Arabidopsis thaliana: one gene and its partners. The protein of the gene in region 1 interacts with the protein of each later gene in a pairwise test. Each region holds a gene or a part of one and is shown in the gene's direction. Other genes may lie near its edges.

Evidence for each region.
Region 2: the proteins of MYB90 (region 1) and SPA1 interact in a two-hybrid assay, tested with the Arabidopsis thaliana proteins (one study listed by BioGRID).
Region 3: the proteins of MYB90 (region 1) and SPA4 interact in a two-hybrid assay, tested with the Arabidopsis thaliana proteins (one study listed by BioGRID).

What each region holds. Positions count from the first base shown.
Region 1 is NC_003070.9:24,762,416-24,766,078, forward strand, and holds MYB90 (myb domain protein 90), read left to right. Parts: upstream 1-1,525; 5' UTR 1,526-1,636; coding exon 1,637-1,757; intron 1,758-2,274; coding exon 2,275-2,404; intron 2,405-2,486; coding exon 2,487-2,985; 3' UTR 2,986-3,126; downstream 3,127-3,663. UniProt on the Arabidopsis thaliana protein: Transcription activator, when associated with BHLH12/MYC1, EGL3, or GL3. Promotes the synthesis of phenylpropanoid-derived compounds such as anthocyanins.
Region 2 is NC_003071.7:19,021,605-19,029,495, reverse strand, and holds SPA1 (SPA (suppressor of phyA-105) protein family), read left to right. Parts: upstream 1-1,967; 5' UTR 1,968-2,334; exon of another isoform or gene 2,335-2,529; intron 2,530-2,616; 5' UTR 2,617-2,674; coding exon 2,675-4,078; intron 4,079-4,379; coding exon 4,380-4,537; intron 4,538-4,789; coding exon 4,790-5,600; intron 5,601-5,802; coding exon 5,803-5,949; intron 5,950-6,107; coding exon 6,108-6,425; intron 6,426-6,512; coding exon 6,513-6,572; intron 6,573-6,732; coding exon 6,733-6,924; 3' UTR 6,925-7,342; downstream 7,343-7,891. Other genes in the region: AT2G46360 (uncharacterized protein), read right to left, coding at 696-989. UniProt on the Arabidopsis thaliana protein: Controls normal photoperiodic flowering and regulates circadian rhythms. Required for suppression of photomorphogenesis in dark-grown seedlings and for normal elongation growth of adult plants.
Region 3 is NC_003070.9:19,781,592-19,787,451, forward strand, and holds SPA4 (SPA1-related 4), read left to right. Parts: upstream 1-1,593; 5' UTR 1,594-1,979; exon of another isoform or gene 1,980-2,092; 5' UTR 2,093-2,156; coding exon 2,157-2,777; intron 2,778-2,853; exon of another isoform or gene 2,854-2,864; coding exon 2,865-3,022; intron 3,023-3,118; coding exon 3,119-4,016; intron 4,017-4,101; coding exon 4,102-4,248; coding exon of another isoform or gene 4,249-4,273; intron 4,274-4,353; coding exon 4,354-4,665; intron 4,666-4,756; coding exon 4,757-4,816; intron 4,817-4,910; coding exon 4,911-5,099; 3' UTR 5,100-5,311; downstream 5,312-5,860. Other genes in the region: AT1G53080 (Legume lectin family protein), read left to right, coding at 1-628; AT1G53100 (Core-2/I-branching beta-1,6-N-acetylglucosaminyltransferase family protein), read right to left, coding at 5,399-5,860. UniProt on the Arabidopsis thaliana protein: Repressor of photomorphogenesis in the light. Probably part of the COP1/SPA E3 ubiquitin-protein ligase complex.

The sequences.
Region 1 (3,663 bases):
TGAGAGTTACATATATAGTAGTAACAACTAGTGGAGACCAAAAGAGGTCGACGATGTCGAGACAAAAAAGAATGTGAAAAAGTATAAAATAGAAATGAAAAAAGATTGGCAGATGAAAGGGAGTATCAAATTATTGTGGGAATTGAAGTCGCTTCTATCGGATAACTACACGACTAGGTATTGCTTATGCAAATAAGCTATCTATCACGGCACATGAGTAGCCCAAGATGTTTTACTTCAAGCAGGCTAAGCGATTTATACGCTACATTAAATGGACCACAAGCTTGGGGTTGTATTTCAAATCCAGAAATGAATTGGGCTGGAAGCATGGAAGATATTAGAAGCACAATGGCTATGTGTTTCATGCTTGGAAAATTTGTTCTCTTTGCAACCACGGAAGCAATCGATCATTGCATATTGACATGAAATGTGGATATCAAACATGCACGCTCTTCTTGTACATATATAATAGCTCACATACTCTCATTGTCAAATGTCTTTCAAGGATTTGTGTAAGCCATAGTATGTATACCCTCTTCATCAGCAATTTACTTATAAGTTTTTAAATAATTTGGTTGTGATACTTTTAGTGATTATCTTTGGTTCATGGAGGCTTCTTCGTCCACTGAGTTGAAGAAAGGTACATGGGATGGTGAAGAAGATAGTCTCTGAGGCAGTGCATTGATAAGTATGGAGAAGGCAAATGGCATCAAGTTCCTTTAAGAGCTGGTATATATACTATTGTTGTAAACTATTGAGTCACTTATATTGATTAGACACAAGTTTATATTCCTCACACACAAATCTAATTTATTTACATAATGTAATTATCCAATACAACTTGTTCCAATGCAAGCTTAGATGGTCACCGATTGCCGGTAGATTGCCTGGTCGGATCGCTAATAATGTCAAGAATTACCGGAACACCCATCTCAACAAGAAAGAAGAACCGTGTTGTAAGAGCAGAATGAGAAAGAGGGAAACTACATGTTCAGCTACGTCACCGATCCAAAGACTCAATGTTATAAAGCCTCGAACTCAATTCTATAACGGCCGGCTCAACGGGCAGCCAGAAGTTAGCTCTTTCAAAGTAAGCATTAACAAATATGGTGGTATCAGATTCACATGTAACAATGATAAGACGAAATATGAGTTTGTGAACATTATTTGCAAAATTTTCAGTAAAGAAAAATACTCCAAAAGTTTTTGTAAGAAGGTGCACCCTATTTTTTTTATTTTGTTCTATTTCTCGTGCATGAAATAACTCTTCCTTGTAATCATGAACCCTCTGAGACCAATCATTACTAGTCCTTTCTCCTAATTTTGATAAGAAACGTGTAATTTGTTTTTCTTAAGTACTGGAAAAGGTGCTATGAACTTTTTCTCTAGTCAAATCAAACAATAACTTAGTAAATTAAGCAGAACCGCAAATACATGAAATGTGGATATCAAACATGCACGTCATTTTCCTATGCCCTTCACGTGTATATATATACCTATTCGCTCACATGCTCACATTATCAATAAGTCCTCCCAGGATTTGGGAAGCCACAATAACCCCCTATTCCTCGGCCTTTTTTAAAAAAGTTTTAGAATAATCCGATAAAATACTTTTATATTAATTTTTCTTTGGTCCATGGAGGGTTCGTCCAAAGGGTTGAGGAAAGGTGCATGGACTGCTGAAGAAGATAGTCTCTTGAGGCTATGTATTGATAAGTATGGAGAAGGCAAATGGCATCAAGTTCCTTTGAGAGCTGGTATGTTACACACACAGATATATTCATGACTAAGAATATTCTCTTCTCTATATATAATATTCGGAAATCTTTATTTTACTTTTCTTTTTGTTTTAAGGAGCAAATTATTGATTCATATGCTAGTGTATGGTAAAACAAAAAAAAACAAAAAAAACAACTGGTTATTCAGAATAATTCTTTATGCAGTTTATTTAAACGAAGAGTTTTATATAAATAAAAAAGTTATACTATTTTTTATTTACGTAGCATATATATATATATATATATATATATATATATATATATAGCTTATTCTTCACAAACAAGGAAGATGCTAAGCTCATGTAAAGTTGTTAAACTATTTCACTGGGCTGTCTTCTGGTGAGTGAAGTCAGTGAAAATTTATGAACAAACGGTTACTGTGTTGAAACAGTTTAATCTTTCTATTGGTGTGCTTAGATTCTTCAAGATGAAACATAGAAAATGACCCAAAAGCCGTCTTGGTTGGTATAATTAATGTCAACTATTGGTTATGTAGGGCTAAATCGATGCAGAAAGAGTTGTAGACTAAGATGGTTGAACTATTTGAAGCCAAGTATCAAGAGAGGAAGACTTAGCAATGATGAAGTTGATCTTCTTCTTCGCCTTCATAAGCTTCTAGGAAATAGGTATTGTTTACTTTAATGGTTATTTCAAGAGCCATAAGTTCAACACTAATAACTTATATGTATATTATTTAACAATGTTTAGGTGGTCCTTGATTGCTGGTCGATTGCCTGGTCGGACCGCTAATGATGTCAAAAATTACTGGAACACCCATCTGAGTAAAAAACATGAGTCTTCGTGTTGTAAGTCTAAAATGAAAAAGAAAAACATTATTTCCCCTCCTACAACACCGGTCCAAAAAATCGGTGTTTTTAAGCCTCGACCTCGATCCTTCTCTGTTAACAATGGTTGCAGCCATCTCAATGGTCTGCCAGAAGTTGATTTAATTCCTTCATGCCTTGGACTCAAGAAAAATAATGTTTGTGAAAATAGTATCACATGTAACAAAGATGATGAGAAAGATGATTTTGTGAATAATCTAATGAATGGAGATAATATGTGGTTGGAGAATTTACTGGGGGAAAACCAAGAAGCTGATGCGATTGTTCCTGAAGCGACGACAGCTGAACATGGGGCCACTTTGGCGTTTGACGTTGAGCAACTTTGGAGTCTGTTTGATGGAGAGACTGTTGAACTTGATTAGTGTTTCTCACCGTTTGTTTAAGATTGTGGGTGGCTTTTCTTTCGTATTTTAGTAATGTATTTTTCTGTATGAAGTAAAGAATTTCAGCATTTTAAGAAAAATGGTTATGTTTCTACGTAATAAAAAAAAACGTTATTTATATTTTTCGCAAAGAAAATACAGTATTTTCCTAAATGCAGTATTTTCTAACTAAAGTTAAAGGTGATAATGTTTGTTAAAATATCACTCAACCTAACCATAGAAAATTCAAAAGCATAAGAAAGTTTTAACCATGAAAGATATGTCTTATGGCAAGTAGACATGGTGGAAGGTTGTATGGTAATGTGGTATTTCACAAGCATAAGAAAGTTATAATTAAGATCTGTTTGGTCTAACCGTTAAAATAATAGCTAGTTTAAGTACAGTAGTAAACATAATTATTTAATATTATCTTACAAAAATTATTTGATTGATACAATAATGGAAGCAAGTAGGGTTAGGAAAAATGGATACACTATTCGTTCTGCAACAAATAAATGACAATGTACTATTGTAGTACTTGTAATTGTTTCCCTCCCCCCCCCCCCCCACCACACACACACAGACACACACCACTCTCCTGAATTAATTAGAGTAGTTATATGAAATCATATATTAATTATTGATTATGTTTGCTCAAAACTGTTGACATTTCTACGT
Region 2 (7,891 bases), on another chromosome or scaffold:
TAGATTATGCTGATTATCAGTTTGGGTTTTATTTCCAAGTTCACATGTTGAGAGAATACAAAAACAAAACAAAGCTAAAGGGATTATATATGGATTAGGTTGTGGATGTCAACTAGTTATTAAAATAATGTTAGATTAAGGGATAGATTAGGTAAAGGTAAGTAGCTGTTAATCATGTTAAATATTATTATTTTAGGTTGTGGTTCGTCTAAAAGGAATCTCCCTATGATTTACGAATCCGAAATAGAGAGAGGAGGATTTTCATGTTATTGTGGTGGAGGAGCTAGGGTCGTGTCAATGCTGCTTTTGGTTCATTGTTTAAGAACAATGATCATAACACGATAAGATTGATGAATGAAACGTTTCTATCTGATATACCACACAAATTTAACTAAGCATCACAAATCCGAATTAGAGCAGAGAAAATAATACAACATGTTGCTGGTTAGGTTGAAACATTGAATTTGCATCTCTTCTATAGTTGATACAAGATTGGATACATCTTCGTTACAAAGCGAATACTTGCTTACATTTAATTACGCCAAAAAATCTCTTCATTTTCATCTTTTACAGTTAATTAATAATGAAAAGATCTGTTCATCTTTATATATAGTGATCAATAACAAAAAAATTTGAATCCAATAAATATAATTGAACTCAGGTTCTGGGGGCAATCACAAGTCAGTCATGCGCCTTCACATTTTCCTGTAATGCCTGAATTCTTTAGCCATGGGCTGAAGCACGTGAGTCCTTTTCTCCATCAACTTTGTATCCTTCATAAACCTCTTGTTTGCACGTGCTCTAGATTCACGAGCCTCGTGTGCAACATGGTCTCTTCTCTCTTTCTCCAAACCATTCTCATCTTCCTTCTTCGTAGAAAGCTGAGAGAGAAGCACCACCATGAGATTTACCTCCATCAGAGAAGTTTTCTCGTCTTCTCTTTTCTCCTCCGCATCATGTTTACGATTGGCTTCGCGAGACGAATCCATAAACCCAAAAAGAAGACCCAAAAATGATACAATTATTGGGAGCTATTAGTCCCTAAATTAGCCCGTCTTTTGGACAAAATTTTTATCTTCTTCTTTTTTTTTTCTTGTGGTCATTCATAGTAACTAATTAAATCAATTTGCAATTTTTTGAGTGGTATTGGTATATTTTCCATCTTAAAGACTCGATGGTAGAGAAATAAGATTCCTAAATTCATTAGTCACAAGATCGACCAATTTTTATTTTTATTTTTCTTATCTCAAATGTTTCGTTTTGAGAACAACCAAACATTTAACCATTGATAAAATTGGCCAATGGCTAAAATGAATGCCTTTTCATTGTTTTTTTGACATCCTAAAATAAATGCTTAACTAATGGGTTTATGGAAAACAAAAGTTGTGTCCAAGTTATAAGCGAAGCAGCCCATAAAAGTATTAAAATGGGCTGAGCCCAATAACTGATAGGTGGAGTATATTAGTTTAAATTGTGTTTGTTGTACAAAGTTTCCCAAATGGGTTTCCAAAATGGGCTGAGCCCAAAAAGTGTTGTTATAGGTGAGGGTATATTAGTTTATTCGCAAAAAAAGCGTGGCTTAATAATCTCCACATCTTTCACGTGACCCCCCTCGAATGGCGAATAGATTAAGCGACGTCGACGTGTTTTAATCTCCTCCTCTTAACAAATATCCCTAAAGATTACTTCCCCCATGCAACACTCTTAATACCCACGCTTTTCCTCTTTATTTACCATCCTACCCCTATACTCACACATATCGTTTAACCAGAGAGGAAAAACCTGAGTGGCATAATCCGTAAATAAGACCAAAAAACAGGACCATCTCTAAAGCTGATGTCACTAATCAAAAGATTATGAACGTAATCTCGTGTCATAATCCTTTTGACCTCTTACTTAAACAAAACAAGTATAATAATTGGGCAGCCAAAATAAAAAATCTTTCTCTCTTTTTGCTATAAAGTAATGAAAAAATTAAATAAAATAATGTTCAAAAAATTGTCCGCCAGAATAAAGAAAATTTGATATGTGGCTTCAAAGCCTAAATTAATCATTAAAATAAAAAATCAGAAAATAAGGAATGAAGAACGAATTGTGCAAAAGTCTATAGAGAAAGAGAGATTCATTTGTGTTTCTTCGACTATACACAGAATACAAAAGAGATATTATATGTAATTATCAATAGTATATGACAAATTTATAGCCTCACCTTTCTTCTTCTTCTTCTTCTTCTTCTGTGTGTTTTTGAATTTGCTTTCTTCAAGAGGTTTCTTCTCCACACCGCTTCGGTGTATGATCTGATTGTGATCTCTCTCGATATCTGGGATCTTCGGGGTAAGCGATTTGATTTTTGTGTATTTCTCGTTTCTCGTAATCTTCATGATTGGTTTTAATAGTTTGCTGCGATTTTACATAATCTTCTTCTGTTTTGATTAGCTACTTTAGATTACAGCTAATGATACGTTTCGGGATTAGTGATTATTGTATGTTTAACTAGTTTTAGAATCTCTACATGCATGAATTTACTAGGTAGGGCTTCTTTCTTCTTCTTCTTCTTCTTCTTCTTCATTTTGTTGGTTTGATTCTGATTTGTTTTTGTATTGTATATGATTTAAGGTATGGAGGCTGTAGATTATTATTATTATTACGTGTGGTGCTGATGCAATGAGTGTTGATGCCTGTTATGGAAAGAGTAGCTGAAGAAACTGTGGCGACTAACAACATACAATTGAAAGCACGAGTGGATGATGTTCCTTGTAATAAGCTTGATGCTCGTCATAACGATATGGTGATTCAATCAGAAACTGCAAACAGTGATTGTCCTGGAAGCTCAGCTCACAGGAATGTTGATTTGACTAAGCCGCCGCCTCCTGAGGAAGCCGCAGGAGCTAAGCTTTCTGTTGAAGAGTTGACATTGGGGAACTACAGGATTGTTCAAGGGAGTAATAATACTAATGTGGATAGTCCTAGGGCTGGCAAGTTTGAGCATCTTTATCGTTTGGCTAGAGGGTCTGCTTTTAGGGCAGGAGATGGGGATCTTGATTCTCAACCTCGTGATATGGATCAAATGTTGTCCAGAATCAGACAACAGCTTGCTGGAGCTCCTTCTGAGAGGCAAAACTTGAAACCTTTTATGTCTAGGAGGAGCGATCAGAATCTTGAAGCTTTTTCTGAACGTCTAAGAGCAGCTGGTGAGAATAGTATTATGAATGCTCCTGCATTGATCAGTGAAGGTGTCCAAATGAAAACGCCGGTGAGTTCTTCGAATTTTTCTCAGTTGTTACTTAAAAGAGCTATGAAAGGGAAAGGGGTAGTAGGAAAGAACCAGGAAACTCCTCCTGAATTTGTCTCTGATCAAGATTTAGGAAGCAAGGAAAAAAAGTTGGATATTAGCAAGTCGCCTACTCCTCACGATGTGTTACCTCTAAAATCAAGTCCCAAAGGAAATGGTATGGTATCACATGGTGATGGGAATCATAGTAAATCTTCTATTGGAATCAGTTTGAGGGAGTTTCTTAGATCAAGTTATGCTAAAAGAGAAAAAAGACATGGCCTTTGTCTATTTAGGCAGCTGGTGGAACTGGTTGACTCAGCCCATTCAAAAAGATTATTCTTGCTAGACTTGAGACCATCCCTTTTCACTTTAGTTCCATCAAAGAAACTTAGATATATTGGTAATTTTGGAAAGAACGATCTAGAATCAGATGTTGACGAAGATTTGAATAGGAGGAGGCCTGTTGTTGAGGAATCATCTAGTGGAGGTAGGGATTCGAAGAAAAGAAAAATGGACTTGCATTTGAATTCTCCAGGGAATCAACTTCAGGCCACTTCAACCGGGCGACCTTTCAAAAGGAAAAGCCCTGTGATTGATTTAAACATGGTTGATGCACGTAATCCAGACAGTTGCGAGCTTCAACAGCAAGACTACATAAAAAATTTAAGCGTGTCTTCAGTGTCGAGAAAACAGTCTATGTCCACATGGCTAGAAGAGCAATGGTATACTTGTCCAGAGGAGATAAATGGAGAAGATATTGGAGAAAAATCAAATATTTATGCCCTTGGTGTTCTTCTGTTTGAGGTATGGACGAATACCCAGTTTTATTGTTGTGGATAGATTTTTAGTTTGCTTTAATACCAAGAAGGATGTAACATTTCCTTGCATTTGAACACTATGTACTGTCATATCCTGCTTATGTGGGCTTTGGGTAGTTTATATTCTTTCATTTTCATGAAATTTCTTACTCTAGTCTGAACTTTGAATCCCAGAGCTAGTATTTTCCAGTCTGCAGTATATAACTTGTCAGTATTTTTGTTTACTTGTTTGATACTTTCATGTGAAGACGCCTACTGACATCTAGCTTGACCAATTGTTGTTTCAGTTGCTATGCCATTGCGAGTCAGGCGAGATGCATGCTGCAATGATGGCAGATTTACGCCATCGGATTCTCCCACCAACATTTCTCTCGAAATACCCGAAGGAAGCTGGATTTTGTCTTTGGCTTCTACATCCTGAACCCTCCTCCCGACCATCAGCTAGGTATTTAGCTGAGTGCTACTCTTTTATGATTCATGTGGGCGAGTATTTACTAGGAGTCTAGGAGTGGTACAAAGGAGAATCTGTAGACCTTCCATTAGCTTAAATAGTCGTATTTAAGATTTCTTTGCCGGATATCTTCAATTTTATTTAATGTTTTCCCGCTTAATTGTGAAGAAAAAAAATGGCATGCTACTGTGTGAATTATCTTCTTGTTTCTTTTTCTGTTCTCATTCTTTTCTCTTTATGTGACAGAGATATACTAAAGTCAGAGTTGATATGCGAGGATGATTCAGTTAAATCGACTGCTGCTGCTGAGGAGATATCTGAGCTGTTACTTCATTTTTTGTCTTCATTAGAAGTGCAGAAGAAGAAAAAAGCATCTAAACTTTTGCAAGATATCCAGACCTTAGAGGATGATATTAAGGAGGCCGAGCGAAGATATTCTTCAAATGTATCTCTGGTGAGATCTCATGGAGCTATTGAAAAAAGGGTGCAATCATCTCCCCTAGACGAGCACTGTACAACTTCCAGTGCCTTGTTTGTACCAACTGCTAATACAGACAGGCTGATGAGTAATATCCGTCAACTTGAAGATGCATATTTTTTCATGCGATCACAAATCAACTTATCGAGTTCTGCTGCTACTGCCCGTTCTGACAAAACACTAAAGGACAGGGACAGATGCTCTGAAAACCAAAATGAAAATCAGGATATGAGTACCAAAGGAAAATCTTCAGATCAACTCGAAGTGTTTTTCGAGGGGTTGTGCAAATTTGCTCGGTATAGCAAGTTCGAAACCTGTGGGACAATAAGAAGTGGGGACCTTTTAAACTCTGCAAGTGTGGTCTGCTCGTTGAGTTTTGACCCTGATGAAGAACACATAGCAGCAGCTGGGATATCAAAGAAGATCAAGATTTTTGACTTCAATGCATTTATGAATGAATCTGTCGGTGTTCATTATCCACTAGTAGAGATGGTCAACAAATCTAAATTAAGCTGTGTTTGCTGGAATAGCTACATCAAAAACTACTTGGCCTCGACTGACTACGATGGTGTAGTTCAGGTACCTATCGATGTCAAGTTTGGAATCTTTCTTATTTACCATCATATGTTGCACGGTAGGATCTATAGGACTAGCCTCATGTGCTTTCTCTTCCTCTATGAGATGTGTACATGTTAATCTTGTGATAAGATAGAGATATAGAAGCGTCTATTTCATGGTTTTCACTTGCCATTTTCTTACTGTATGGTGCTAATGAATGTAGATATGGGATGCCGGCACTGGACAAGGATTTTCGCAGTACACAGAACACCAGAAGAGAGCCTGGTCAGTTGATTTTTCTCCATCTGACCCGACAAAATTTGTTAGTGGAAGTGATGACTGCTCGGTGAAGCTTTGGAGCATCAATGAGGCACTTCTCTTTCCTTTACCTCCTGATATTGCAAGAATTTTCATGTCCCCGTTGTTTTTATTACTCCAGATTATAGCTCCATAAGGCATGATTCTCTGTTTATACTTGTGAATTTCCAAATCTAGTGAAACTTATATTCTTCTCTGTTTGGTATGCAGAAACGTTCATTAGGCACAATCTGGAGTCCAGCAAATGTGTGTTGCGTGCAATTCTCTTCTTATTCCAATCACTTATTGGCATTTGGGTCAGCTGATTACAAGGTCTATTGCTATGACCTTCGGTATGTCAAAACACCTTGGTGCACATTGGCTGGTCATGAGAAAGCGGTGAGTTATGTTAAATTTATGGATTCAGAAACCATTGTTTCTGCTTCCACTGATAACTCTCTCAAGCTTTGGAATCTTAACAAGACAAATTCCTCTGGTTTATCTCCTGGTGCTTGTTCATTGACATATAAAGGACATACAAATCAGAAGGTTAGTCCCAAAAACTTTTCTATCTACCTTTAACATCTCATCCAACATCATTAGTTAGTTCTGATGTCTAATCCTTTACCTGTGCAGAATTTCGTTGGATTGTCGGTTTTGGACGGATACATAGCTTGTGGTTCAGAGACCAATGAGGTATATATCACATCATAAAACAAAATCTCAACCTTTAGAATACTTAATTTCAGATTATCAAAGGTGGTATATGTCAATCGCGTTTAGTTTGTTTATGAAGCTGCCTAAAATTAGTTGTTATAACTTACTAAAAAAACTTTACTTTGATTTTGCGTCTTAGGTATATAGTTACTATAAATCTTTACCGATGCCAATGACTTCATACAAGTTTGGATCCGTCGATCCCATTTCTGGAAACGAATACTTTGATGACAATGGACAGTTTGTGTCGAGCGTCTGTTGGAGGAAAAAATCGAATATGCTTGTAGCTGCAAACTCTACTGGAAACATGAAGCTACTAAAACTTGTTTGACAACTTGGCCTTTTCGCTACTACTGCGGGCATTGGACTTTTTGAGTCTGAAACTAGGACAAAGCAGGTCTGACTTTGAAGCAAACGTTTTTGTCCTGGAAACTATGATCCCATATGACCAGAAGAGAAAAAAAGTTCGAAATCTTGGAGAAGTTGAAGAAGCAAAACTGTCTGTGATAATATATTATTTGATTCTTCTTCCTGTAATTCTATATATATGAGATATAATTTGAGATAAACTTCTCAGATTCTTCAGAAATGATTCATATTTGGTCGGCATAACGTGTAATGATGAGAGGTATATAACTTGTACAAGTGTGTTATATCGTTAGCTCGGTTATGTAATTGTTGTTGGAGATTCTCTATAAGAGAGAAAATATATATATCATCCATTCATTTCATCGCATGGCTACTACCTCTCGTCTGCGTATTTCACAATTTATGGTTTTAGATTCAGTGTTGTTTTAGAAGAAATTCATAACAATTGCACATACGATGTTATTAGTGTGACCACCAACTTCAAGTCTCTAGGAAAACAAGTAGAATATGTCGTTGATGAAGGGCACATGGGTTAAATGTGGTTATTTTTTTCCTATTATCTATTACTATAAATCTCGAAATCATGAATTAGACATGTTCTTTGTATCTATGTCCAACATGTAATGGGTACATTGTATGTTTAAGAGTAAAACTAGGATAGGAAGATGTAATTGATTGCTTGGTGGCGTGGGTTTAGGCCTTTGAGCCAACATTTCTCTTTAGATTTGAACCCTCTGCTTTCGCGAGAGACTCTCTTTGTCTTGCGTTTTAAAAATCAAAACATTATCCTTCCTTCGAAGCAAAATCTTTAAGATTTTGGTGCTATGCCATCTCTTGCAAGTCATCTTTCACATCTGCCAGGTAAGTGTCTTTTGAGTATTCCAATTCTAACAAGTCCGGACAAACAAAAAACAAAAAATTGGTTCTTC
Region 3 (5,860 bases), 5.0 Mb from region 1:
TCCAATCCCATTCAAATCTTCCAACAACACATCTTCTTCTGTTTACTCTTTCAAAACATCTTTCACTTTCTCCATCACTCCTCGACGGTCAAACCCTAACCCTGGTCATGGTATCGCCTTCATCGTGGTCCCAACCGTAGCCTACGAGTACGACCAAGACTCAACCCGCGGCTTCCTCGGTCTAGTTAACCTCACAACCAATGGCAATCCTAATAACCATCTCTTTGCGGTCGAATTCGATGTTTTCCAAGACAAACGTTTTGGTGATATTAATGATAATCATGTTGGTGTTAATATTAACTCTGTTAACTCAAAGGTTTCTGAGAAAGCTGGGTATTGGATTCAGACAAGAACTAGAGGGAAGAATCAATGGTTGTTTAAGGAAGTGAAGCTTAGTAGCGGAGACAACTACAAAGCTTGGATTGAGTATAAGAACAGTAAAGTCATTGTTTGGCTTGCACCTGCGCATTTAAAGAAACCGAAGAGGCCATTGATCGAAACACAAGTTGATCTCTCGGAGGTGGTTCTTGAGACTATGTATACCGGCTTTTCCGGTTCGATGGGTCGTGGCGTCGAGCGTCACGACATTTGGAGCTGGAGTTTTGAGAACACCGCCAAAAACAATTAGTTCTGATTTTGGTCTTGTTTGGTTTGATTTATGTTTGTTACCGGTTTAACAATTATGTATTTTCTCTTGATTTTTATTCAAAAGTGGTTAAAAAGAGAGTACGTATAAAATGTCAAAATCAAATTTAAAATTACTTTGATCGATTAAACCATTAAAAAAAATCCTGAGAAGAAAACATGCACACTGTCCCGGACCATCACCGTCAATGATCTTCTTGGACATGCATCATTGATTTTGTATAAATAAAGACTCGTTAAAAGCCAAAGCACAACCACGTGGTATTGTGGTCATCGTCCTCATCAAATTGAATCAGTTTGTTCATGTCACAAGTTTCTTAACATAAGTTTTTAAAAGATATTACTAAAATTTAAAACTAAAATATTGACAAATCCACGATATATAAGGTTAAAGCTATCACAGTTTCTAGGTCGTATCATTTTCTACAAAAATCTTGCATTACATTTCAGATGGTTTGGTTTCAATAAAAAAACAGAGTTTTTTTTTTTTTTTCATTGATAAATTTGTGTATGTAATCTAATCATAGAAAAAGAAAAAACACGTGGCGTGTCCGGACGCATGTGATTTTGTAATTTACCACTTACGTTGTCGACTTGTCTCAATCCATTCCATGGAAATGGAAACTCCCCTCTGGTTATTAAATGCTCCCACCAATACATTCTCTTTCCTTTCACCAAAACCAATAATACAAACAATTTTGTTTTTCTCATTCAAGATTTTCAAAGTACAATCATTTCTTTAGGTACTTTCTCTTGTAATAAGGCTTCAAATATGTTATTCAAAAATTATTTTGGTCATTTTAAATTCCTATTATAGCCTTACAAAAATGTGTTATATTATTTGGACCACAACATAATTTAAACATTCCTCTTGAAGAAAATTGGTCACTTCAAAAAAGAACAAAATTCACTTTGACCTCATGGTTTACTTATATTTACATATATGGCCCAAAACCAAAATACGAAAAAGGTTTTAGCTTTACGTTCTTTTGATTCCTAGGTCGTCGTTTAACCACGTTGCTTGCGTGGAAAGAGAAGAGAAGTGAAGATTATCAAAAAGCGAAAAATAAAACCCTCACTGTGAAGTAAAAATCGTAGGCCCAAAATAGATTTCTCTTAGCCGAGAATTTAATTTTTATGAATCTGATTATTGCTTTTCTACGAACTCAGTTTTTGCGATGTGTGGTTCTCAAAAAAGGATCGTTTCTTCGGTGCCTCTTAGTCTCTCAAGTACTTCTTCTTCTTCTTATCTTCTTCTTCGCTTTTCTTTTATATATAGAGAGAGTTTAGTGGTCAAGAAGCTTCCTCGTGTTTGTCTCTTTATGTAATCAAAGGTTGCATTTTTATTCGAATATATTTTCTGGTTTTGGTGTTTTCTGTCAAAGGGTCTTTTAAAAATCTTAACTTTCGTTCTAAATTTCTTTACTTTATTTCGATTCTAACTTAGGGCTTTTGGGCTGGGATCATGAAATGAAGTATTGCAGAATCCAGAGGAGTTTGTTTGGTAATCAATGAAGGGTTCTTCAGAATCTAGTTCCAGAGGATTAAACAACACCTCTGGTGTTTCAGAGTTTTGTACAGATGGTTCTAAGTCTTTGTCTCACATTGATTATGTCAGAAGCTTACTTGGTTCACATAAAGAAGCTAACTTGGGAGGACTTGATGATGACTCTATTGTCAGAGCTTTGGAATGTGAGGATGTTAGCTTGCGTCAGTGGTTAGACAATCCAGACCGATCCGTTGATGCCTTTGAGTGTTTTCATGTTTTCAGACAGATTGTTGAGATTGTTAATGCAGCTCACTCTCAAGGCATTGTTGTTCATAATGTTAGGCCTTCTTGTTTCGTTATGTCTTCGTTTAACAATGTTTCGTTTATCGAATCCGCTTCTTGTTCGGATTCCGGGTCTGATGAGGATGCAACAACAAAGTCTCGAGAGATTGGTAGCTCGAGACAAGAGGAGATTCTATCAGAGAGACGAAGCAAACAACAAGAGGAAGTAAAGAAGCAACCTTTCCCTATGAAACAGATATTAGCAATGGAGATGAGTTGGTATACAAGTCATGAAGAAGATAATGGTTCTCTGTGTAATTGTGCTTCTGATATTTACCGTCTTGGTGTTCTTCTCTTTGAGGTTTGTGCGTAAGAAGATTTGATTTTTGTTCTTAACTGCTTTGTTTTCTTGAGAAAACTGATTTGATGAATGTTAGTCTTTGTGCAGCTATTCTGCCCTGTCTCCTCAAGAGAAGAGAAGTCAAGAACTATGTCTAGTTTAAGACATCGTGTTCTTCCCCCTCAGATATTACTCAATTGGCCTAAAGAAGCTTCCTTTTGCTTGTGGTTACTGCATCCTGAGCCTAGCTGTCGACCATCGATGAGGTGATGATTGATTCTCTCTTTGATGTTTTTAGTTTCAATTGGAAAAGTTTTGTCCTTTAATTAAGAGTATTGTCTCCTTTGTCTTTACTTTTGCAGTGAGTTGCTACAAAGTGAGTTTATCAACGAACCTAGAGAGAATTTGGAAGAACGTGAAGCTGCAATGGAGCTACGGGATAGAATCGAGGAACAAGAGTTATTACTCGAGTTCTTGTTTCTGATTCAACAGAGGAAACAAGAAGCTGCAGACAAATTGCAGGATACAATATCGCTTCTCTCTTCTGATATCGATCAAGTCGTAAAGCGACAGTTGGTTTTACAGCAAAAAGGGAGAGATGTCCGTTCGTTCTTAGCCTCAAGAAAACGGATTAGACAAGGAGCTGAGACCACTGCAGCAGAGGAAGAAAATGATGATAATAGCATTGATGAGGAATCTAAGCTTGATGATACTCTAGAAAGTACACTTCTTGAAAGCTCTAGATTAATGAGAAATTTGAAGAAACTGGAATCAGTCTACTTTGCAACACGATACAGACAAATCAAGGCTGCTACTGCTGCTGAAAAACCGTTGGCTAGATATTATTCGGCATTGAGTTGTAACGGTAGAAGTTCAGAAAAGAGTTCAATGAGCCAACCATCAAAAGATCCTATCAATGATTCTAGACAAGGCGGGTGGATCGATCCATTCCTCGAGGGTTTGTGCAAGTATTTGTCTTTTAGTAAGCTAAGAGTGAAAGCAGATTTGAAGCAAGGAGACTTGTTGAACTCGTCTAACCTTGTTTGCGCAATTGGGTTTGATCGTGATGGAGAGTTTTTCGCCACGGCAGGCGTCAACAAAAAGATCAAGATATTCGAATGCGAGTCGATAATAAAAGATGGCCGGGACATTCATTACCCTGTTGTGGAACTTGCTAGCCGGTCTAAGCTTAGTGGTATATGTTGGAACAGTTACATTAAGAGCCAAGTCGCATCAAGTAACTTTGAAGGCGTGGTTCAAGTAAGTTCAGAAGAAAACTCTCAACCTTATTAATCAATGAAAAGTATGAAAAAAAATCTTATAACTAAGGCTAATATTTTCATAGGTTTGGGATGTTGCAAGAAACCAGTTGGTTACAGAGATGAAGGAGCATGAGAAGCGTGTATGGTCCATCGATTATTCATCAGCAGATCCAACATTGTTAGCTAGTGGTAGTGATGATGGTTCGGTTAAGCTCTGGAGTATCAATCAGGCAAACTTCGAAACTAAACCAAAACGTATTTATGCTCGGAAATGCGAGAATAGTTCTTTTGAGGGATGTGTTTTTAACGGTTGAGTTCGTTTTCCTCTGTTTCAGGGGGTTAGTATTGGAACCATCAAGACAAAGGCAAACATATGTTGTGTTCAGTTTCCATCAGAGACGGGTCGGTCTTTAGCATTTGGCTCAGCAGATCACAAAGTTTACTACTATGATCTAAGGAACCCCAAGCTTCCTCTTTGCACAATGATTGGTCACCACAAGACCGTGAGTTATGTTAGATTTGTAGATTCATCAACACTTGTTTCTTCTTCGACGGATAACACGCTGAAGCTATGGGACTTATCAATGTCTATTTCCGGTATTAATGAAACGCCTCTTCACTCATTCATGGGACACACTAATGTTAAGGTATATTTTTTTCGAGATTCGTTTCTATTGCTTCATTTCAAGTTTGCTTTATGAGATTACAAATACATTTCTGTTCTTGCATTGTGTGTAGAACTTTGTTGGATTATCAGTCTCTGACGGGTATATAGCAACAGGCTCTGAGACTAACGAGGTATGTCTACTCTCACTTCATAAATATACAAAAGAAGAACTGTTGATCCCATTTGTCAATAAAAACCGTGAATTTCGTGTGCTTCACTGGACAGGTTTTTGTGTACCACAAGGCATTTCCAATGCCGGTTTTGTCGTACAAGTTCAAAACTATAGACCCTGTGTCGGAACTCGAAGTAGACGATGCCTCGCAGTTCATATCCTCAGTCTGCTGGCGGGGACAGTCGTCGACCTTAGTTGCTGCAAACTCCACCGGCAATATCAAGATTTTGGAGATGGTATGAACCAATATAAAGTGGCTCAGAAGCAAAATGGTAATATTCCAGGGTTTGGATTGGTATAGGAAACAATTTTTGGGAGAGAAAGTAGGAAAAGTGAAAACAATATTGTTGCTACTAAAGAATTGTGTATATAGAAAAAATATATGATATCTTTCTATTTGTTGTATAGTACTTATTGTAAACCCTAATGACACAGGTGGGCAACTTAACATACAAGTAATAATTATTTACTTCAAAAGAATTATACAATCAAGCTGTGGTGTGTATAGAACTGCAAGATTCTCTCCAAGCTGCTTGATTCTTTATACACATTGATTCTTACCTAATTTAGCCTCTGTAACTAACCTATCTACAAGCTCCTTGAGCCTCACAGCCCCTGAGCTAGGCCTGATCCTAGCCACATCTTCGACAACCGAGCACTCTGGTTTCCCACCGCACCAACCGCCTGGAGTAAAACCGTCTTCGTTTATCCGTATAAGCAGTTCCTTATCAATCTTATCCAAAACAGTATCATTTCTTCTGAACTTCCGACCAAATGCAGATCCGCTCGAAATCATCTTTCCCATGTCTCTTTGAGACAACATACGAGGATGCTGCCTCGGTGGCTTGTCCCATGCGATGTAGTGAAGATCATGGTTCACCGCGGTTTTGGAGAACTCAGGCACGTTACATATGACTGTATGGAAGTAACCTTCAGGAGAAGAAACGAAATTGGTGTAGTACATGAGTAAAGTTCTTGGTAAATTGTCCCAACCGTATATGAT